Linked DNA regions of Styela clava. The protein of the gene in region 3 purifies or fractionates together with the protein of the main gene of each other region. This does not show direct contact. Links are inferred from orthologs where the notes say so. Each region holds a gene or a part of one and is shown on either strand. Other genes may lie near its edges. The genes, in order: cold shock domain-containing protein E1-like, SUZ RNA-binding domain-containing-like and serine-threonine kinase receptor-associated protein-like.

What was found.
Region 1: the proteins of serine-threonine kinase receptor-associated protein-like (region 3) and cold shock domain-containing protein E1-like purify together in Homo sapiens (affinity purification with mass spectrometry; 3 studies listed by BioGRID and IntAct, counting the BioPlex papers as one, with this or other methods). This does not show direct contact. The link is inferred for Styela clava from reciprocal best matches to the Homo sapiens genes STRAP and CSDE1.
Region 2: the proteins of serine-threonine kinase receptor-associated protein-like (region 3) and SUZ RNA-binding domain-containing-like purify together in Homo sapiens (co-immunoprecipitation; 3 studies listed by BioGRID and IntAct, counting the BioPlex papers as one, with this or other methods). This does not show direct contact. The link is inferred for Styela clava from reciprocal best matches to the Homo sapiens genes STRAP and SZRD1.

The regions. Positions count from the first base shown.
Region 1 is NC_135255.1:1,854,275-1,862,409, reverse strand, and holds the start of cold shock domain-containing protein E1-like, read right to left. Parts: upstream 3,381-8,135; 5' UTR 3,127-3,380; intron 2,045-3,126; 5' UTR 1,914-2,044; intron 1-1,913. UniProt on the Homo sapiens protein: RNA-binding protein involved in translationally coupled mRNA turnover.
Region 2 is NC_135264.1:10,328,625-10,336,577, reverse strand, and holds the start of SUZ RNA-binding domain-containing-like, read right to left. Parts: upstream 3,294-7,953; 5' UTR 3,142-3,293; coding exon 3,091-3,141; intron 163-3,090; coding exon 42-162; intron 1-41. Other genes in the region: putative E3 ubiquitin-protein ligase makorin-1, read right to left, coding at 5,580-5,786, 6,276-6,423, 6,858-6,968, 7,048-7,172, 7,305-7,394.
Region 3 is NC_135251.1:26,654,459-26,663,160, forward strand, and holds the start of serine-threonine kinase receptor-associated protein-like, read left to right. Parts: upstream 1-5,374; 5' UTR 5,375-5,710; coding exon 5,711-5,819; intron 5,820-5,960; coding exon 5,961-6,096; intron 6,097-6,655; coding exon 6,656-6,810; intron 6,811-7,255; coding exon 7,256-7,352; intron 7,353-7,731; coding exon 7,732-7,869; intron 7,870-8,702. UniProt on the Homo sapiens protein: The SMN complex catalyzes the assembly of small nuclear ribonucleoproteins (snRNPs), the building blocks of the spliceosome, and thereby plays an important role in the splicing of cellular pre-mRNAs.

The DNA.
Region 1 (8,135 bases), on a different chromosome or scaffold from region 3:
TCAAGACAATACTATTCTGTGCGTTATCACTGTAACGCAATTAACACCGCCGTACTTTTTTTGTCTTCACGATAAGTTATCTTTTTATTCGGCGCTGATAATGATAAAGAAGAATTTGTAATTGTTGATTGCAATTCCGGAAGGCGTATTTTCCTTTCGCTCCATGAAACAGACATGAAACTAATTTTGCCGACGATTATGACAAAATTATGAGATAAACATGCCTCATTGTCACGGAGTTTTCAGTCTTCTGGTAAAATCCCAAAAAAAACAATATATTTATTTTCACGACGATCGTTTCGGCGGCCGACATTTCATTTAATGTTGTTCAAAATGACAATACTCATTATTCGATGTTCGTTAAAAACAATCGAATAACTCAATTCAAAAAATAAGATCACCCGCCACTAATCACGGCGCAATTAAATAATCATTGAATGGCAACAGAAAATCAACTCAATTACCGGTAACTATAAATTCCATGTAACAGTTTCACATTTCGTGCATTTGATCAGCGCTACATACGAGAGTTTTTTTGTACATATAAACCATTATGATACTACTGACATCTGCAAGTTATAGCTCTCTCTAAAATTAATTTTCGCAATTTCAAATGTTTTATTTCTAAATGTGGGTACCCACTGACTACGGATTAATGGCCAATGTTTGAAACAGGACTGCAAAATATTCACCAAACACCGCCAGGCAAAGAGAGGGGGGCTATACGTAACTGTGGTGTGGAATTTCGCCGTGATCCGTGAATGACCATATATTTTAGTTTATTAAACGCATTACGTCGTCGTGAATTGTACTTTTGGTGAAATGTTTTAGTTTCACCATAATCCCTCCGTCGGAAAGGTCCTGGCTGCGCCCTTGAAAAATATTAAATAGTTGATTGATAATCTAGATCATCACTGTATAATGTCTATATTTCTAATTTGAACATGACATGACTAAAAGATTTTATAGCATATTCGGCTCTATGAACTCCTATCGCATAAAATTTTATCATTGTTTCAAGAACTATCCATCCATACATGCTATTAGATCATGACAATCTAATCCACATACGTACTTATGGTACATAATATGGATGTTATAAATATCTCGTTACAAAAAGTACCAACAGTTAGTTCACCACAAAAGATGATCTTTCATCCATTAGTGAATCCAATGAGTTTGAAGAAAGAAACATTATGACAGCGTATACAAACTGGTATGTTATAATGGTAATGCTAACAAAGCCTTTTATATGCTGGGTTGTATAAGGCAATGTTATATGGTAAACAAAACTAGATTACTAATCAATCCGTATTGTTTAGTACACTTATGTGCAGTACACCAATAAAAGATAACACTGACACAACATATTTTTCAAGAGCGAAAACAGAATGTATTGACACTACACAAAGAAATAGGAGCGTTCGCAGACAGATGCTCAGATTTCAAAATTGAGGATGAAACTGTAAAGAAAACATTGCATGGTCAGGAATTCTGGTTAGTCAAGCAGAACCCTATTCATATTGTCTTTTTTAGCTCATAGGCAATTTTTATAAATAGGTGTGCCATGCTAGATTGCTGCTGAATGTCAAAACTTTGTGATTTACCAACAAAATATTTAAGTGGATGTCTAATATTAAGTTAGTGAAGCAATGATTTGTAGTATCCTTCGATAATTTCACTGGTTTATATCTAGAAATTTGAGGAAGAAGCTGAGGCCAACAGTGGAACCAGACCACCTGAGATAATAAAAATTTCAGCAGTTGTCTGTGTATGATCCTTCAACATGGTATTGAATCTAAGTCAAATGAGCAAGATAATTTTCAGGATGGGCAAGCTATGAGTAGAATGAATAAAAATTGACACAGGATGTGGATAACATGTATAGACTGCTTTTAGCATACTTGACATACCTTAAAAAATTGCCAACACAATCAAAATGTAAAAATGTTGAATGTAATGTTAGTTTGCTGGTAAATTCTTCTGCTGCAACTTGCTTGTTAGTTCTTGTAAATTTCCATATGTTGTATTAGTTGAAAAAAATCTGCAGAGAATTGTCAGATTGTGGTGAAAAGATTGAACTAGTTCAATTTAAACAAAACACAAACAATTTATGGCCTGTATGGGCCACATTTCAAAATTTCAATGATTCTCACTACAGCAATACCAGACTATGCCAAGTGGTAGGGTCAGCAGTGGCAGTGAAGTCTGGAAGTGGTCCATGGGTCTCGTGTAGTTTCGTACCTAACGTACTTTTAATAGGCGTAGCATAACAATTTTTTGATATGTCAATCCTAACCCCCATTCGACTACGCCATCCAAAAATTATGTCATTACGACATCACAATCCCATCATAGTACTTGCCAAATATACGTCCGATCGTCCGAAATGGCATCAGCGATGACGATAAAGAACTGAATAACTTCATCGATCTCTCTCCTATTGGGATCATAGCGTCGAGAAAACGAGAGAAACAGCAGTTCGATTTCGGGTGGTCGTCTGCGCATCTTGGATGGCAGTTCGTACCGGTATAGTTCAATAGTATGAAAGGCTCCATTACCTCACTGCTGCACTGTGACGTCGTAGTGACGTAATTTTTGGATGGCGTAATAAGGTGGGGGTTAGGATTGACATGTGAAAAAAATGTTATGCTACGCCCACTAGAAGTATGTTACTGTGTTAGGTCTGTAGGTACGAAACTACATGCAGACATAACCTGTAGTCCCTTTCAAACTCCAACATTCTGACATTTTAGCTCTGTACGGTACCGGTACAGCGGTACCGTACCTTCAGAACTTAGATTCCATGTTACAGAATCTTACATGTTTCAAGAACATTAACAATTCATACAGTTGAGTCAGACACACAACTCAGCAAATGGACACTCAGACTACAGGGGTCTCATGTAGTTTCGTACGGTACCTGATGTACTTCTAGTACATGTAGTAGGCGTAGCATACGGTAACAATTTTTTCACGTGTTAATCCTAATCTTGTAATCCCCACTTGACCACAGCACTTTGTTTCAGGTTTAATACAAGAGGGACAAAGTTTAACAAACCATTACTATTGTGGACTAACGTTAAAACTTCTATATCGTAAACCTACACGTAAATTAGTGCTCACCTTTATTTAGACGTCAATTAAATTATCCCGAGACCCAATTTCCCCACGCCAATCCCGACGCTGCCCAGGCCGATCTCTCTTTCTTCCCAGCAGGTACGTAACGTAAGGAGAAAATGTCGGACGATTGCAACGCTGGATGGCGACTCTGCGTTGCAATATTTATGGCGAGAGGTAACTTGAAAGGAATTTCTTCATCTTATAAATATTGTTTACAAAATCGTAAAATGCATTCGACATTGACAACCCAAAAATTTAGACTACGGTAATATCAGGTCATTCAAAACTTTACTCCTATGATGTAACAATTGACTTTACGCCTAATGACGACACAACTGATGAGTTATTGTTTTCTTTATTACATAATAGTGTTGAAAAGTACGGAGGTTAATGGCTGAAAAAAAACACTACAAATAGGCCGGCCTATATTTTCAATCATCTTAGAATCACAAAAACAACCAAAAAGACTTTCGGTAATATCTATGTTGATTCTTCGACTTCAGTATTAGGCCGCGAGCCGAGGCCATTTATCTTTCAGTTTCGTAGCGCACATCAGGTAACTACCTGAAAATGATTTTAAAATGTTCCTTAGAAATTTAGTAACAAATATTGCCTTGTTCCCACTTCCAAAAGTTGCACGTTTTACAGAAAAGACGCTTTTACTGCAATAAATATGTGTTACCATCTGTCCTATTTTCTCTGCTTTTCCGGTATCATGGGCCAATGAACGCAGACTTCTGCACGACGTAACAGTCAAGTTAGTCAGCTGTAGGTGGATCCCCAGTGGTCGGATGAATATCAGATGTACTCAACTGCTCGCTTTTGCGTTGAGAGAGAGAGAGTTTATTTCATTTTGTCAAACCAAGAAAACAATTTATGCACACATAAACAAATATAAAAAAAAATAGTTTTCGGTATATGACTGGGGGGCAACGATACGACCTTTGGGGGTCATCAGAGTCAGTTGCCACCCAATTATATTAAATAAGCATAAAAAAAACAGGTTCGTGTCAATATTTCAATGTCTCTCACGATTTATACTATGTACAATATTTACATGAATTTACTATTCTTAATTATGGAAGCATTCTTTTAAATAATAGGATTTTGCACAAATTGAAATTATATTGCAAAATATAAAATGATCAAAACGAAAAAAAGTGGGAAAGCAGGTCAGACAAGCTACCCCTTATTTGGGTAACTTGTTTTATTGACTGAATTTAAGTTAAACATAACAAGTGGGATTTTGAACAAGCGAATATGGGTAGAGTTCTATTCTACACACACTAGTGCAATGTAATCAGATGCATGGGTTGAGTCATCAAAACAAATTAGAATTTGGTTTAAACAACAAAAAAATGCATTTTAAAAATGCAATACATTGTAAACTTTGTATAAACAAACAATCGATATTAAAATATCAAGAAAGTTAATGCAAAAACAAAACAGTTGACTTAATGTAGGAATAAATAAGATTCAATATTTCATAACACTATGTGAAATGATTCAGAACACTTTAAAAATAAACATCAAATATTAGTGTTTGTACATAGAAATAGAACAATTCATAAATCAAGGCCATTTATCCAGATTTTTACACTAATTGGTAGTAAATGGATTAATTTATCATAGATTAGCCAGGGATCTCAATAGGAAAGTATTGAGATATCGTTGGTAGGTCAAAGGTTGATGAAAAAGAGCTAATAACTTAGCATATTAACTTCATAAGATAGAAAAATTGAGTGGAACATTTTATTACACAAGTAGTTGAGTAGCCTTTCCATAGTTTTTTTCAGTTACCGGTAATATTAGTCCAGTTATTCTAAGGAGGTGTTGAAAAGTATAGGTAAGATATTAAACACTTGTATATCCTTGCCATAAATAGCAATTTTAGTTGAGCACTAGCTCATAAGACGTTGTTAAATAGGTACGGTGCGGTAACTCCAAGGAAGGCTAGACCTAGAATAATACTGTAATATGTCACAAACAACGATATTTTCTGGCTTGCATGAAATGTTTATGATTAATTTAATGACTCTTCTTGACTATTCAGCAGACTTATACTACTATATAGGCCACAGCATATTTGGAAATAGAAATGAATGGCTGTTTCTGTAATGCACGGTTGTGTGAAAGAGAAGAAATTAATCAATTTTACTAATGTCGGTTGGTCTAAATCTAAATTCATAGAGTCGACAAGAACCTGGGAAGCAATGATAAGTTATGCCGGAGTGGAAAGAAAGGTAGCATTGGAAATGATTGAGAGGTGAGAAATGAAGTTGTAGACAAACAGTTGATGTTTCAAAATATAGTCTATAGTCCATACTCATACTGTCATAGGACATTTCAGACTGTGATATACCGGTATCAAAATTTAGTGTAGATATAGTCTAGTAATGGTATGCAAACACTGCTGGACTGTAGAACATGCAATGAGCATATATACGCTCATTTAGTACATCAGATAAAATGCATTATGTATTCAAGGTATTAGTTAGTATTTAGGGGTATTTTTAAAATCATGCTGCTCCAAATATTATTTTCTTCCTTATTTTAGATACTGTACTACAAAAGAAAACGGCAATGTTCCACCAATCCGACCTAACGCAGGCTCTGATCCCTGCTGCTATCAGTGCTATAAAATGGATTAAACAAGAAGTCTTGAAGCTTAAAGGTATATGAGAATCATAATAGTTGCAAACAGCTTAGATGGGCTATTCATATTGAAATACTTTAGCACTTTTCTGCAATTGGAACTGCCCATCAAATTCATGTTGGAGACTTCATTGAGATTTTCAATTCATTTTTTTCCCTCGACTATGAAGATCTTTTGAGGTTAACGAGGTATTAATAAATAAAGCTGAGGAATTTGAAGAGGATATGAAGAATGTAAATGATACGGTACCAGGGCACGTCTATTTAACACTGTCAAACATAAGGATTATACTCTCCACCCAACAATGATTCACTGAAGAAGCATGTTGCCCTCAAATCAGTTCTTGAGTTGGCAAACTGCAAAGAAAAATAGTCAAAATAATTTATGAAAGTGTGCCAAAATCAACTTAAATTGCACAGATTTTTGTTTTTGTATTGACTGCAGAAATCACAGTACACCTATAGAGGAAAAGTCGATTTTTGAGCTAGTGGATTTCGAAAACAATTCAGAAGAAAGTGAATTAGATATTACAGTTGATTTAATAAGTATCATACATTTGTTTTTTTTTTCGGACATTTGTTAGTGTCGTAGTCCTGTTTCTAGAAATATTATTGCCTTTGTTCAAATACATAACCACATAAACTAAAAAAAGATTAATTGTAAATTGTAATATTTCTGTTCACTATGTTATGTACATATTGTACATTCATTTAATTTTCTTGATTTTTGCGGTAAATTTCTAAGTGAGAAATAACTGATTTATTTGTGTTTTCGTGCTCACGATGTTAATTTGTGACTTCATTGCTTAAAAATAAATACGTTTGATACTTGATAGCTTCTATAAAATGGATGTAGCTTTTTATGCTGTTCTTGTTGTAAAATGCTTGGGGTTATTACATAAAATTCATTCTCAAATGTGAATCAGCGTTGTTGGTGTCGCTGCTTTCGAGGTCACTCCCGACTCCTGTCACACAATTAAAGTATTTTTTGTTGTTGGTTACATGTATGCCATATTTTTCGTAATCTACCTAATAAATTATGATTGACTGAGGAAGTCCGATTTTGGTCAGGCAAAACATTACAGGAATACATTTGTGTTAGTGTGCTGTAGGGCTCTCGAATTGTATAGTTCTTATGTATGCGTTGTAAACTTATGGTTATTGAATTTCCGGGAACCTCTTATATTCAATTTCGCACCAGGATTGTGGAACAAGCTGTAATGCGTTCATTATGTTCGTTTTCCCACAAAACTGAAGAATTTATTTAGTTACCAGATGTGCGCTACGAAACTCATTTTCTGGGCGTTTTCATGGTTTCGTCTCACGGCCCATATCCGTGGTAAGGATCTACAAGTGTTTAATAATTTACTTATACATTTTTCAACAACGTCTTAGCATAACTTAACTAATAATAACTAAACAGGGCTGTGGAAAGCCTGCCCAACTCAGCGCAAGGTCGAGCAGAAATAACTAATATTCATCCGCTCGCTAACAGCTGGTTTAATTCAATTGTTACGTCATGCAGAAGTCATTGTTCAGTGCCGAAAATGTAGAGAATATAGGACAGATCGTAGCACATATTTCTTGTAGTAAAAGCGTCTTTTCCGTAAAACGTGCAACTTTTGGAAGTGGGAACAAGGCAATATTTGTTACTAAATTTTTAAGGAACATTTTAAAATCATTTTCAGGTAGTTACCTGATGTGCGCTACGAAACTCACTTTCTAGGCGTTTTTCAGGGCCTCGGCTCGCGGCCTATATGTTCCTCAGTTTTTCATTTTTGGAGGAATGATATTTCCAAATTTTGGGTGTGTAGAGATTTTGACATACAACGCTTTGTAAATAATATTAATAATAAGCACGAATCACGTGGTACTTGTCCCACGAATATTTAGAAAAAATTATAGTTGAAATCAATGAGGGAAAAAATATTTTGAACAACAACAACACAAATACTTCCCTTACTCCCATGTTACCGTGTTTTCCCAAAAATAAGACCTACCCAGAAAATAAGACCTAGCCTGAATTTTATGAATGGTTTTAATATAAGCCCTTCCCATAAAATAAGACATAGTCAATTTTTTTTTTACCTAGTCGATAGCAAGAAATGTCTCTTACAAGTTTTAAACGATTAATCTAAAACGCATGAAAGAGGAAAACGTGTTATTTATAAGTAAACTGGTATCGGTTTTCATATTTATATATTTGAAAATCTCGTAATTTGCTACTTTGTAATTTTGTTTTTGAAAAATGAAAGTATAAGACATCCCCCGAATATAATCCCTAATGGTATTTTCAAAGGAAAATCGTAACTAAGACCCGGTCTTATTTTCGGGGAAACACAGCAGTTAATTTACGT
Region 2 (7,953 bases), on a different chromosome or scaffold from region 3:
GATTTTAAGTGACTTTTAAACCTACAGAGATATTAATTTACCAGTACAAATAAAATCATCGCTAAAGTCTTGGTCATCGTCAGAAAATTTGCTTCCATTTTCTTCTTTGTGAGAATTTCCATTCGTAAGTTGCAAATGTTGATCAACATGCTTGTCTAGATCCTGGAAAAAACAGTTACAAATGCTGAACTGGATGAATAAAATCTAAGTTTAGGGCTTCTTTCAGACTAACTTAATTAAAAATCCACAACAGGATATATCAGATAAAATTGCAAAAGACGAAATTCTGGATATTTCATAGCTTTGGTCTGCCATTGGATAGGATAGGATTCACATATTTATCCTGGGGGAAATGAAAGCCGATAAGACGGCTTATCCATATGGCGAACCACGGCCTCTCGTCCGGTTACCATTCCAAGTCGGGTATGTGATTAGTTATATTGTTTGTTTTCGGAAGCATGGACTTGGCGGTGGAGGAAGCCGTAACCGACCAGCGGTTACGTGAACCACCCAACGACAGCGAGGAGTCCAGCAATCCTCTCGCACATAACCATCCCTGCATGGGATTCGAACCTGCGAACCCACGCAGAGTAATTAGAGGTGCGGTGGCGAGCGTATTCCTAACGCTTAGCCCGTTGAGCCACACCGCCGCGCCAATGAAATAGAAAACCTCAGAAACTTAGGTATGTCTATATATTGAAAAACTAGTGACAGAGTGAGGTACCGTACCAGTATCATTTGACACAGAAATTTATATGAATTGAAATATTACATTGAATAAAAAAAGGTTTCAATCGTCTTTTTTTGTTTTGTTCGAAATACCAACCCTCCTTGCACAACTGCCTGTATAAAGGACCATATTGTACATATTTGATTTACCCTATTATAATTTATATACCTATATCAAAAGGGGTGTATGCCGCACATCTGTGTTTTAGGCCAATATGGTCTTGTGCAGAGGCGTAGCTTAGGGGGGGCAGTGGGGTACATATGCCCCCGGGCGCCAAGGTACAGGGGCGCCAAAATGGGGCTGGCAAAAATTTCACAACAAAGGTAAAAAACGGTCACAAGCAAGATCGCACCGGCGGCAGACATCTAATCTTAGTACATGGCAAACTGCACACTTGGTCAGACCACTTACGACTGCCGACGTCATCACGCACATAGCACGGTCAGATTTCCATCGTAATTACATGGCCCAAAAAAATTTGGCCGGAAAACAAAGCAAAATTTGATTTGGTAACGTTAGGTATTAAAATGCACCGGGTTAATTACGTGGTTCTGTATCGTTAAGTTCTTGCCTGCGCACTCGGATGTAAGTTGATATTAGTTCTGTGCTGGAGACAAATGGAAACGGAATTTGGTTGAATGATGTTAATACATGTTTTGAGTAATACGTGGATTGTATTTTGTTGTCAAAGTACCGTACTTTGCGGCAGAGTTACATAAAATATATTATACTGTGCTAAAAGACCTCAATGCCGTTTTCGACAATTCGTCGAGATTGCACAGATTTTGCAAATCTCTACCCCACGGACATCAATGGCCACGAACTTTTCACCGAAATTGGAGATTGCAGAATGCTGCTCAGTAACAGAACTGTAGATCAACCAGAAATTCCTTTGGCTCTTCTTGGTTTTATTGTGTCTTTTGGAGACGACGTTTCATTCAATCTGCGAATTTCTCTACACAAATTTTGTTAACAATATCAGTTTCAATTGCAAGCTGTGAACGGTCTTTCAGCAGATTGAAACTTATTTTGTCGTATTCACGTGCATCAACGGGACAGGATCGTGTCCGTGATCTTGCACTTCTAAGTGTTGAAAGAGAAACATTGGAAAAAAACAGATTTTGATGACGTGTTAACCAGTTTACGACAGTGAAATTGAAAAAATGAATTTATTTTAGTCTATGTAGATCATCTTTGACAGTAACTGAGTGGGACATATGCTCTATTTTGTATAGCTTTGCTTCTTCTTTGAATAAAATGTTTCATGAAAATTTGAATTTACATATACATATATTTTTGAATAAATAATAAAATATATAAATACATATAAATTTAAATTCACATATCGTCACGCTAATAACCGAATTGCGTAAGTCATTTTGGGCGGTTTTGAATTTTTCATAAAATAAGTATTTATGTAATGCTGCGCACCTGTCTGTTAACTCAGATTTTATTTTAAGAATTCCGAAACCCATAAAAATAGAAATTTTGTATGATATGCAAATTTGTTCAATTGTTCCGTCATAATGAATTATCATTGTTAACGCAGTTTTTGCATCTCAGATTCTAGCTTAGCGCTGATAATTTTCAATTTATACTACTGTATAGGAAGGCGTGCACTTGTGATATTTACTGTCTGAGTCCAATTCACCTTGGTTGACTTTTATATAAGAGTACATTACTGTTTTATTCTTTATATTTAACTTTAGTCTTATTTCGGTGATGTGCAGAGCGTGTTATATTGATGAAATATATATTTTTAAACATAAAAAATAATGTAATTGAAACAGATTAGCTATTTTGGGGATTTTGGATTGTTTGGTTTTCAGGACTGGTACATATAGACAAGTTGCAAAATTGCGTATGTCCTCTAGCCATAGACACATTTTTGCCTAAATCACAGTGTGCCATTATGGCGTCACATGACTGCGTCATACAAATTAACTTAAATCCGGCTACGATCAAAAAGTTGAACTATGGCAAATTAAAGACTCTCAATGGCATAGCAATATCATTAGGAAGTTTTTTTACGTTTTTCTCAAAACAGCTAAAAATGACTTACGCAATTCGGTTATTAGCGTGACGAAATATAATTTTTTTTACATATACAATTAAATCCAATAGAAAACATGATTAAACGTGGGGGCCGGGGCGCCAATGTTATATTTTGCCCCGGGCGCAAAATATGCTGGCTACGCCTCTGGTCTTGTACATACATCCCGTCTTCAGTATTTATAATTACTTACTCTTTTATATTGCTTTTACGAGACGAATAAACATACATACATACAAGCATACAGGTTACAATGTTACGGGTACAATAAACCGTTGAAAACAATTTAATTGGTGAATTTACTCACATTACTATCCGCAAAATCTTCCCAGCTATCCCATATGTCTTCTTCTGCCATAATAAAGAGAATAATACAACGAAACGTCGCGTCAAACAGTCAAAAGATGTAACGAATCACACAAAGCTCGGTATCAAATGAGAATGTTTTCCACAAAGCAAATCTCCCCACAAGCCATAGAGACTAAACTGCAGAACTGAAGTACGACCGAAAAATAGTCAGGTTATGAAGAGAAAGTGAGAGATTGTTTCTTTTGCAAAACATCATATGAAAGTGTGGTGAAGCTAATGTATTTTTTATAGAAAAGCAGATCCTCATATCATATCCTGAATCTCATAGAAATGGATAGCGGAAGAAATACTAATCAACGGTTGTTTTAGTCATCATGGGATAAGAATATTGTATTTGCAGTTGTCTTGGCAGAGGAACTACGGATTCTCACCCGTTCCCCAGTCAATCAATCAATCAATCATCATTTATTCGTCAACACAATCAATATAAATATATCACGGAAATATGGCAAGATATATAATAAGTAAAAAAAAGAACTTCATATGTGTGACAGGAGTCGCGAGGGACCACGAAAGGTCTTCGAGCAGCGACACCTACGATTACGTTTATTTGACTCAAAATTTACCAAGACTGTATATGCTTATCTGGCTTATTTTTTATTTTGTTGTGGTATAAAATGCTACGTCCCAATCGTTACATTAAGTCAAACACGCATTTAAGTAACTCCTTATTAATAAAACTTCATTCTTATTTGCATTGCTTGTTCATTATGCTTCCAATTTTTTTTTTATGTATTCATGTTTTTGTATTCTGTGTTTGTATATTTGTCCTGATCTCAGTTGTTTTTCGACCACGAGTAGGATTAACCGATACATTGAATATTTTTACCTCTATGGCACTTTTAAACCAATAATTGCTCATTGATTCTTCATGCAAGGGTGTATTAAGTACAAAGCATTTCGAACGAATTGGTCATCGAGATAGCCGAATCCGGTGCATTTTTCATTTCGAAAAAACTTTTTTTTCCTGCTCGCCCATCCTTATTCTCATTCCAAAAAAGTATCAAATATATATGCTTCAGTTCACTTTTCAAATCAATATGGCGATGTTTAAACAATGTACACTTTTTGCCAAATATTGAGCTTGTTGTTGTAACTATTTATTCATGTATTTTGTATTGGGTGGTAGCGGACTGATGACCTTTTGTTTTGAACCCCTGTTTTGTTCACATGTTTGTCCTTGTTTTTTGGTTTGACAAAAGCAATAAATTATCTCAATAAATACCGGTAGTCGTGCAAGATGTAACGTACCCTTGCTAAACGTAACAGTAGTCGATGACTGCTACGTTACAATGGTAATTTTCTCACGTCACATTTAAATGCAGGAAGCAATGCGATGAAAATATGCGTAAAATACACTCTACATCTTCAGCCTACGGGGAACGACTCGGAATTCCTAACAGCCAAATATGCTACGGTACCGGTACCCCATCCAAACTACTGTATTTATTTTTTTTATTTAGCGTTCGCTGTGCAAGGACGAATATCACGTAAATGTGACAACTTTTGTACGAAGGTTCCTAACTTCTTCACCAGTCTTGTTGCACACCATGTCGGCCGCTATAGCGCTTTGTTGGATAGTTCTTGAGAAAAAAACTGCTTCCTAATACTGTATCAACAGTGTAGGATACTGTTAACTGTATCTTTGTGCCTAAAACCTTGAATATATTATTCATCTAGATTGCACAGCCTACAGCAGTGAACTAAATTTAAAATCACCAGCGTTTATTTAATATTTTCAAGGCGATAAAATGGAAAGGCGACATTGAAAAGAAAAGTACACATGAATTAAGCCTATAAATGGCGGCGTTCTCGGGAAAATATAAGTAGTCAATGAACAGAGATTGATAAACAAGAGCTGATTGGTGCAATTTCCTAATAAGAAACAAACAGTGCAGTGCCAGTTGAAAATTGAAGATGCAGGATTCTTACTGAGTCATTGATAAAGTAAAGTCGTTGGCAAGGCAAAAAAGTTGTTGATACAAATAAGTGGGGCCACAAACTTTAAAATTCTATAAAGCAAGTTATCACCAGGCAAAAACAAATAATATCATAAGTGTAGTCAAACAAAGCAAACACATAAAAGTGAGATTACAATTATCTTAAATGGATCCGCCAAGTTATAAATAAAAACACACACACACACACACACACGATTCCACATCAAAATTAATGAGATGTCAATTAAAAAATAAGAAACAATTTAGAAATGCCTAGAATTTTAAAGTTTGGAGCCCTAGTTTGATTAAATGTTGTCATAATTTTAATACCAGTATACACATATGGGAATACACAAGCGAAATGGTTACACTTGCATGTGAATCATATAGTAAAATTTGGTCATTGTATTCAAGCGTGAATTACGAGAGGCCATACTTCCAATGTATATTCTATACATAGCTCAAGCTTGAATGATGTGATCAAGAATTAGTAAAAGTCGCTATCTTCATCACTATCACCAATTCCCAAAAACCAGTCCCAGTGATCATACGAGTCTGAATCATCGCCTAAGCTCGTATTTGCACCGAGAAGGTACACCAGGTCAAATAACTCCATACTATCATCTTCAAGATCAAAGAATGGATGATCGTGCCGCTCTTCAATGAATTCCCATATTGTTGATGAATCGAAGGTCTATAAAAACAGTTCATTCGTCAAAGTACTCTAATATTTCAATTCATTAATTATATTTTCAACAATTATTCGATATTATTTTTTTTATACAAGTATACTCAAAGCAAATAAAAAGAAAAAAGGATTAATAGCCAAATAACAACCAGCAACCATAATCTAACTTTGTGACAGAAATGATAGCAAATACAGGTTGACCTAAAAATTCAAGCTAACACTGACGAGAAACGACAAATCAATTTGCAGGTATTTACCAAAATGAATACATTATTCAAGTAATAAATATAAATTTGCGTTATCAGCATGTATGACTAAACTGCAGATTAAATTATCTGGTAAGTAACTAGAGAATAAAAACACTATAGGCCCAAGAATTGAACCTTGTATAAATCTTCTATAAAAAGGTTTGGCCATCAAAAAATGGATTCAATGATTGAATAGCTTAACCGGGACATAGTATGAGATGCAAAACTATGGAAATAATTGTTAAACCTGCAATCTTCCTTCTGCATTTCTAGCTCTCTTTGGAATTTTTGATCGATCTTGTTTTGTACCATCTGGATACGCATGGAGGTAGAAGCAATTAGCTCCGAACGGACATTTTCCTCGGCCTTGATCGAAATGTTTGCATGACTTCTTTCTGTAATTTTAAGTTTGTGGTGAAAATTTTACCATAACAGAGTTAATGGTTTCGAATATTAATTACTTTACCTATCGGTCTATAATGTCTTAATTCCAATTGATATAAAAAGGCACAAAAGTCTTTAAATTTTTTAATGATGCGCTCATACACTTGCTCCAATTAAAGTTCAATAAGCAGCCACTAAGATGCTACTGTTCTGGTTTTGGATATTCTAGCAGCGAACCAGATCTTAGAACAAAGATTTTTTGCTACAATACTAATGCAATAGCTGTTACACAAAGAGCCCACCAAAAGTTGGAACAAAGCATAATTAATATCTCCTTCTACAAAAACACACATCTGAGCAATGGGCACATTCCAGATAGTTTACCAGAAATTACCTTGACAGACAATGATTTAACAGTGATGGGAATCTACTGAAAATAACTTACGATAAGTGATCTTTATACCCTTCGATTAATTTCTTTTTCTCTTCTTTATCCGAGACCCAGTCATCACTTGGCGTTACGAAAGATGAAGATACTCGACACTCTGGACAAGCTCTGAAAAACGAACAAAATATAAGGTTTGAATTTTCAAATATAATTAAGGACATGAGTGAGATAGTAGTGAATTCCTTACTTGACAACTGTATTATTAAATGACTTAGCGCTTCTCCATTTTCTGATACAATCAAGACAGAATGCATGAGAACAATTTTCTAAAATTCCAAACTTCCTTTCCCTTTTTTCTTTCTTTTCCCAAACCTGAAAACGAAAAGATGAAAAAAATATTGATGAAATCAGGAAAGTGAAATTTTTCATAAATATATTTTATGCCAGATTTATGGATGATGTAAAGAAAAAAATTGGAAGATCAGTGGAGTAAACCATACGCACCACTTCCATACAGATGCCACAAGTCACTTCACAACTCTGTGCAACTTTAAATGATTCTTTCATATCTTCTTCATGACTTGCCAAGCACTCCTAAAAATAATCGTTCATATTTTATCTAATTATCACTGAATATTTCATAAAATTTAAATTTTAGCAATAAAAAAATTGTGCGAATTTTATGTCAATTTATCTTAATAAAACTTGCTTCTGGATCTGGTAATCAGTTCATTTGGATATAAAATTAGTTGCACGAGTTGGACATTTTAGTTACACAGATGAAGATTGGAGTAACATAACAGATTGGTAATTTTTTGAATAATCACTGTAAAAAATGTATACAAGATTAGAACTTATGGAAGACGCAATGGAAGTCGCAACAATTAACTCATAAAAGAAAGTACATGGAATAAATAAATGTACAATGAAGTAACATACAGGACAAGTAATGATTTCGTTAAAATTTCAAACAGCTCAGATGAGTATATAACAAATTAAATATATAGTTAGAACGATAGTATAAACATTTTCAGTCAAATCATAGTTTCCAGAACACTGTGACGTTATAGTTAACTTTTCACCACAGAACAGTCTTTCAAGACTAAGAGAGAATTTGATTACACTAATAGAGTTGAAATGTACAAAATCGGAA
Region 3 (8,702 bases):
GCCTTCACCCTGAACGAGGTTCTATGCAATAACAATTGGGTTCTTTCCGTTTACCTTACCCCATTACCTATCCTACTTTTGACACACTGGCGGGCATCCACCCATGGCCATTGACAAGTATTATAAAATGGCGGCTTTTCATTGCATGTCTTATAGATTATACCCTGGCAATTATGTTTTAGATAAAAAAAAAAAACTGCATTTCCTATTCCCTATCACCCAACCAGAAATTTTCTATTTTCACCGTCTGAAGCAATTAAGGTCGAAATATGCACTAGCAATTATCCATTACCTTGGTAATTGCCTTACTTAAAAAGGTATAAAATATTTCATAAAAATTAAACAACAAAACACAATGTCAAACTGTCATAGCGTTGTGTTGATACTTCAAAGCATTGATTTTTAGAGTCGCAATCCAAACAGAAATTTCCGAGTCTGAATAAATTAAATCAACGCTTCTTCGACATGAGCCACGCCCTATTTTTGAATCGCATGTTTGGATATTCAGCAAACATCGTTCTTTTGTGCATTTGCATTTTATGTGAGGGCACACTGTTCTTGGAATTTTCGCTTGCGTATAATCGTACTTCTCAAAAACTGTATTGTTCGTATTATTTGTTTCATTTTCAAAGATAAATAGAATTAAAATCTAGGCCTATTCAATAGTGCCATAGCTAAATTCCAAGAATATTACCAACGTATAAAGATCATCGAATGGTTGCGATCATTCTTCTATAGGTTTTCGATTTCGAATTAAAACCATAACCATAACCATAAACTACAAATATTAACATTAATGGTTCGGATCTATGGAAAGCTTTTCGTTGTAATAGTTGGTTCCATTACATTTGCACCCACGTACATTTGCACCCGTATTTTGAACCCACGACAGTTGCACCTGCATACTATTGCACCTATGGACATTTATTTTACGGATATTTGAACCCATAATAACCCTAACCCATGGATGTTAGCACACGCATATAGATTGAACCCGCAGATATACCGATGCAAATGTATGGGTTCAAATGAACGTGGGTGCAAATGGACGGTCATCTAATAGTAGTATGTCACATTGCTAGTGTTAATGGAATATGTTTTTTTGGATGATAGTTGAATCAGTCCAATCTACGTCAGTCTAATCTCAGTCTGCGTTTCTTTCCTTCGAAGAACATTTCATACCTATTTCAATGTCTTCAAATATGTTGCTTTCCTGAACGATCATCAAATTGTAAAACTAGCGAATAGTCGCGAATAATTTTAATAGCGAGGATTACTGCATTACTAAATATGAGTTTCTTTTGAGTGCTGTTAACGAAATGACAACAATTTCACAACAATATAATGGAAGAATGAGAAAAACAACAGACTTAATAAATACATTACCTTTGTTAAAGTTTAAAAATTGTGGCTTGGTACCCCTGGTAGTTGTAAACAACTTCATCGCGTGTGTTGCGGACACACTGTCGGAGTAAATGTTGCCATACAGATGGAAGGGAGACTATCATACTAAGTTGTAATCTTACCCCGAATGAACAACAGGCGCCAGCACTGAATGGTATTTGAGAATGTTCTGTCATATTGCTGGTTGAGAGTATGGCGATTTCGCCCACGCGGAATTCCAACAATGTAAGATTAATGTATTTATAACAACGTTGGAAAGTACCTCAACAAGTAAAAAATAAAAAACAGGTAAAGATAATATAGCTCAAGTGAAGCAGAAACGAAATTACAATGCACCAAATTCGCGTGAGATATTAGTTTTGTGCTTTTTTAAATTAAAAAAAAAAAAAAAAATTGTTTTTAAACATGGGGGTATGATATAAAATTTAAACATCTAAAAACTGCATGATGTTAAGTTTTAGTGGAGTAGATATTTGCTATCAATTAGGTTAGAACAAGAGAAACGTTTATAATTCTGGCGCGCGTTGCCATAATTTGTCGTAATGTACTAATTCATCCAATACAATGAAACGTGTATTCAAATTAAAACTAGTTATAATATTATCAATTAGTTTTGCGGAAATTATTCATACCGTTCAAAATGTATTATTTATAAATTACCATATGTAACTACATGGGTATAGATACAAAATATGGGGTTCGGCTTTGTCGAGATATTGGAGGTTTGTGAGTTGAAACATTGATAATATTCATGTCATGATACAGAACTTCTGTTGTTTAGTGAAAATTTACACATAAGTTTTTGGATATAATAAATTTTATCGGAAAAAACCTACCCGCCTAATTAGACCACATTATACAACTGTACCATAGCGAGGCTAATTATATCATTCTGATCAAATTATTAAAAATTATCTGAATATGAATAAATTACCACGCTCTCCCGAAGAATTGCCCGTTCCTTGGTATTCCTTAAGATACTATACCATATTGATAAAGAAATTCAGGTCTAATAGTATAACAGTAAATTTATTAAATATTTTTATAGGCTAAACGCAAATTCTGTTCATTCTTTATATATATGATCTTATTGATTTTTTTGCCATTCTACGGAAAACTGAATCAAACACTTAGACTGCAAGACGACTTCTCAAATTATTTTTGTAAACTATAATTGAAGCTAGAATGATATGAAATTTGATGGCTGATGCTATACCTGAATGTGGATATTGCTCAGGTCATAAATATGATTTTTATATTTATAAATCGCAAATCCTCTATATGAAACAAAATAATATACGTGATAAATCATGAGAAACATATATCATTTTTGGGTGATGTGGTTATTTCACGCGGATGCTTAACAGACGAATATCCGTACCAGTTAATATAATTTTCTGATAGTAGATAATATTGGACCATTAATCGACCTAACTACCTTAACGATGAAAATTTTCTATGCATTTGATCTTTATTTTACTTCCCAGCTCAAGATCGACATTTTCTCTCGAACTCTTGAAAGTTAATGAGTCAGAATCCACATACTATGACTACAACATTTTCGCCCAAATTGTTCAAGTTCAAAACATTTTTGCAGCCGGAATTTATAAATATATCCTACAACACTAATGGAATATACAAATTTGGTTGTCGGTAAAGGATTTTCTGGATTCCGTTTGGGTATTATCTTTAGGGTTTTGCTCAATTTACTTCAATAGATAAAACCCATATTTTTGAATGAGCTAACCAGTTTCATCAACAAAATTTATAGATGCTTATATATATATAAGTTCAAAAACGTTGAAGAAATTTCAGACAGAGCCAAGTTAAAAGTAACCTGAAACAACGCATATTGAATTATCGTAGAACCATAGGTCTTTGTAAAGTTCCTAAATATATTGGGAGTTGAAACATTTTGCAACGCACCATTATAATTAGTATATATATATAATTTAATTATAAAATAGATGATAGAGTTGATTTTTGAGAAGTTTCAAATTTTGGTTTTCAGCCTCTCAGTACTAACATTCAATACTGAAATATACTAATACTAAACTTAATCAGCGTTTCCATAAAACGTGTCACTCCATACTCCTGAATATCATCTCTCACGTTTTTTTATATTCAGAAAACATCTTACTTTTGTACATTTGTAAAAAATTCTTCTTTGGGAATTTTCCCTAGCATAAAGATAATCGTATTTTTTGAGAACTGAATTGTTTGCAGTATTTGATTTATTTTCAAAAAAAAAAAATCGAATTAAAAACTATTGGAGTAACTTGATTTTCAATACGCAACAATATCATCTTGACTGAGTGCAAATAAATTAATGTGGTTGCGATTGTTTACCTTTTCGTTTTCAATCCCAAATTGAACTTGAGACATCTTGTAGTTTCCCACTGTATCAGTACTATATTGAATTGATAATTCAAATTTTTTCCTGAATGAGATTAGAATCATCGAATCTAAGAACATTCCATGGCAATTTCGTGAATTTACATAATAAAATATGTAGCATACTAAAATATGTGTTTTTTCTTGAACAATGGGACAACTGCAATGTAAGAATCGCGGCTGATCGAGAATATTTGCAAATGATTTCTAAATGGGGACGGTGAGGTTTATTACAAAAATTACTAAACAAAGATTTTATTTTGAACTTAATATGAGTTTTTTCTGTTTTCTGTTAAAAAAATCACATTCGATTATCACTTAGTGTAACTGACAAATAACAAAGCGCCCGTAAAAATTATATTGGTATCGCTAAGCTTAAAAGTCAAAGACAATTTGGTCGATATTTGTTGAATAAGTTTATAAATTGCCGGAGTCAATGTCACCACACATATAGATAGAAGAATATCATACCTACTAAGTTTTAATTGATAATTTAAAAATAGGATCTTACTTCAAAAAATTGGCATTGGTACTGCATAGTATTTGAGAATATTCCGCCATATTGTTGTAGGCTATCTAGGTATGACGATTCCGCCCACGCGGAATGTAGGATCAATGTAGGCTATTGATAAAAAAAAAACATTGGAAAGTACCTAGAAAACAAGTAAAAAACGTAGAATGCGACAAGAAAAGCGAAAACTAAATAACCTGATATATCTTGAACAGTTACGGAAGGTGGATCAGTATTGGGTTTTATGCTTTTTTAACTTCAAAAACAGCTAGTTTTTTGGGGTATTACTGAAATTATTTGATACTTGAAATAATCAGGTTAAAACAAGGGAAAAGGCCAATCGACTACTTCACATATTAGTTTCGCAAATCATAATTGAACATTATGAAACTTGGTATCTGAATGTCTTAAAACACCTGAATGTCTTAAAACGCAAAAATTGAGTTTTATCATTTATAAATACACATCCTTTATGTAATATAAATTTTGTAGCGAAGATTTATATTTTCTATTTTCTGGTGTTGTTGATTTGTCTTGTTGGTTATTTTCCGAACAGTTTATATTCAACCCAGTTATCTATGTGGTCTTACTAGTGAACTTACTACTGAATTATATTAACACCATTGGCCAACCTGTCAAGCGTTGGGAATAAGCTTGTCACCGCAGCTCTGATCGCTCTGCATGGGTTCGCAGGTTCGAATCCCGTAGGGGTTGATTATGTGAGAGGAGATTGCTGGACTACTCGCTGACGTATTGTGGTTCACGTGATGGCTGGTCGGTTCAGCTTCCTTCACCATCAAGTCCATGCATCTGGAACAAATAACTGGCTAACAAACTAATCTCATACCCGACATGGACTGGTAACCAGATAGAAGGCCGTGATTTGCTCTATGATTAAACTGTCTTATCGGCTTTCTACTCCACCGAGATAAATATGTAACTAAATCCTAACGATATGATATTAACTCGATGATTCGATCGCCGGATTTGTTGCTGCAGACTCGGTACCACTCAACGTGCTGTTTTTCGATTCTTCCATAGTTTACTGAGATTCTTGACTGTGTCCTTATTGCTGTATTGTGAGTCGACGCAGCTCTCGTCTTCTTCTTCCCACCAGCGTTCAGTACAGTGTGAGTGGTGCAGTGTTTGCAACGTGCCGTACCGTATCCTTCGACATTATTCAGTCAGTCTGTGCTGCGCACCAAACCGTGTGGTCGCTGATCGGGCGTAAAAGGTGGACCTGTAGGCCGTAGGGTAGGCTACGTTGTCGCTTTTATTGCTCACTGGCTGACTGGTGTTGTTGACACTGATATAGCCTAATTTGAATTAGTTGTGCACAGTAAATTAAACTGTACTGGTACCAAGATATTCTAACTGTTCCACCGTTCAGCGATAAAAAGGATGACAAAGCAGACACCTCTAACATGCAGTGGCCATACTCGCCCTGTCGTGGACTTGGCTTTCAGCGATATAACTGAAGATGGCTATTTCTTGATCAGCGCATGCAAGGGTGGGTTCATATTAGTTAATAAGCAGTTGGGTTAATTTGCAATGCTTAAAGCACTAACTGAGCAAGGGTTGAATAAAATGAAAAATTTATCTTTTATTCTATATTCTGGTAAGATTGTAATATTGTTACTGTATTATCCAGATGGAAAGCCGATGTTGCGACAAGGACATACAGGAGATTGGGTTGGTACATTCCAGGGACATCATGGTGCAATATGGGCTGCTACTTTGAATAAAGATGCAACAAAAGCAGCAACTGGAGCAGCTGATTTCACTGCGTATGATGCTAACGGATTATATTTTTTTATATATTTGAAATCTTTGACAAGAACATACTCCCATATAAAAATACAGAAGCATGTATTCCATATAGACTTATTTTTAAAAGGTGTTAAATATAGTCTTATAAAACGATGTAGATGAAAAAGATCATCATATGAATTCAGATATGTATGTGATATTTTAGAACACTTAAGCATCCACCACCAAAGTTTGTTCAAAGCACAATCTTGCAGTTTTATTCTAAGATGAGGCAAATGCAGCAATGCAGAGTTAAATTAGGTCTAGTTGACTTAAGTAGAACTTAAGCTAAACATAACTCAATAATCAATTTTGTGTAGGAACATCTGCAATGATACTTTTTACAACAAGATCACATTATACTGATGGGTCATAACTCAATGATTCTAATCCGTAGCGAACTAAATTCGGGCAATTGATGATCTATCAGAAATGATTCAAATTTAAATTTTGAATTCATTGACTGGCTGTTTGTTTCTGATTAATTAGACAAACATTGTTTTCTATTATCTGTTAATCATTTGTTTTTTTATACAGTAAACTCTGGAATGCTGTCACTGGTGATGTTGACGCATCATTTCCACATAAACATATTGTCAAAGCTGTATCATTTTCTCCAGATGGATCAAGGTTATTAACAGGAGGTCAAGAAAAAACACTTCGTTGCTTCAATATTGAGAAAACAGATGCAGGTTGTAAATATTGGTTGAATACCTTCATTTAAAATATCTAGTAATTCATTTAAAATAAATAGTGATATGCCCTCACGAAAGCATGACAGTTTTCAACAGTATGTCAGATGAAATTACTTACGTTCGAAAGTAAAATAATACTCAAAACCTCTAGAAATTAATATAAATTAGTAGTTTCTATATTTGTTATTCAGTGAATTTAAAACAGGTATGTGGTAGCCTACTATTTTGTTGTAGAAATACTAGTTTATATGATTTCTTAAATATTATTAATCAAGAAAAAGAATTGTACTTTCAGGTCCTTATAGGGATGAAAAATATCTGAGGAATATTTCATGTAGATTGATAGCATATTTTAATTTTTAAGTCTTATTTAATCCAAACTTTAAAAGTGAAAAAAAAACTACCCATTCAACATTTGAAAATGCTTGTTTTAAATTGTTAGATCCAGAGGAAATAGGGAAACATGAGGGAAGTATAAAGAAAACGTTATGGATTGATGAAAAGATTGTTTTAAGTGCGTCAGAGGATAAAACAATAAGGTTTGTTGTATTTTAGCACCATTAAATGGGTTATTTGATGCAATATAGGTAGAATTTAGTTTCTGTTGAGGGGGTCATTTTTTTGTATTTTACTTTTGAGCTATTGGAGTATCATCCAATGTAGGGGTGTGCAATATTTTTGTCGATGGGCCATATAACCAACTTCACACATCTAGATGGGCCTCACGAAAAAAAGAATTCATGCATGCAACGAAATAAAAAATTCTTCTAATGCAAATTTTTTTTTCAACATTTTAGTGGGGCACTTGAAATATGTTTGTGAACATCAGCTTTACTTTGGATTTGTTTATGTAAATTTTTATTTTACTTTGGGCATTCTCATAACTGCAACAAAGTAAAAAAAACTAATATTTTGCAGGAAGTGGGATACATCAACCAATAGTGAAGTTCAACAAGTTAAACTAGATTCAACAGTAACAGATATTGAACTGTCGCAAGATAAAACAACACTTCTTGTCACCAATAATAAAACCATATCTATATTCGATGTCGAAAGGTTTGTTTCCTTCTATACTCTTGTTATCTTTTGTTATATACTATTTTTATATATATGTTTTGGCCAAATTGGTGGCATCAATATTGTGTGGACGATTTCAGTACCAGATATAACCAATTTTAAAACGTTATAATGGGAATTTAATAAAGTTCTGTACAACAAAACTTGTCATTAAAGCTTGTCATGTTTGAATTAATCATTAGTTAATTAATATTGCAATATTTCTCTTATTTTTTTGTATTGAATCGAGTATTATTACATCCTTATTTGATTGTTAACATGTCTTGTTTTGTTTGTTGTATTGTCCTGTTGTTATTATTAAGATCACAGTTCAGTTGGTTGACTTCATAATATCATTAATAGTTTCAAAAGTTTCTTTCCCAGGCGCTATTCAATTAATGGTACTCCTGAAGTATGCGCACCAAGATGTCGCACAACCTGAACCCTAACCTGATACACAACCTGAGTTCAAGTTGTGCGCCATCTTGGTGCGAATACTTCAGGAGGTCCCAAATAATAGTGGTAAATTTAGTCCATATATTGCTGGGTCAAGTTTGACTCAGTATTATGAATATTTTTTATCCTACACCGAATTTTTGCCATGATTTCGATAATGTGATTGTTTCAACACATTTTACTTTTTCACCAATTTTATTCCAAAAAGTTGTTGAACATTAGTAATGATAGCACATAGCAGTTTAGGCCCTTTCAACAATTATGTAATCATCATAATCATTATAATGTACCATCTGGACAAGCAATTACTCACCTAACTAATTTACTATAATTCATCATATTCCATATGGATACATGATTTCCTGAAATTCATAGGT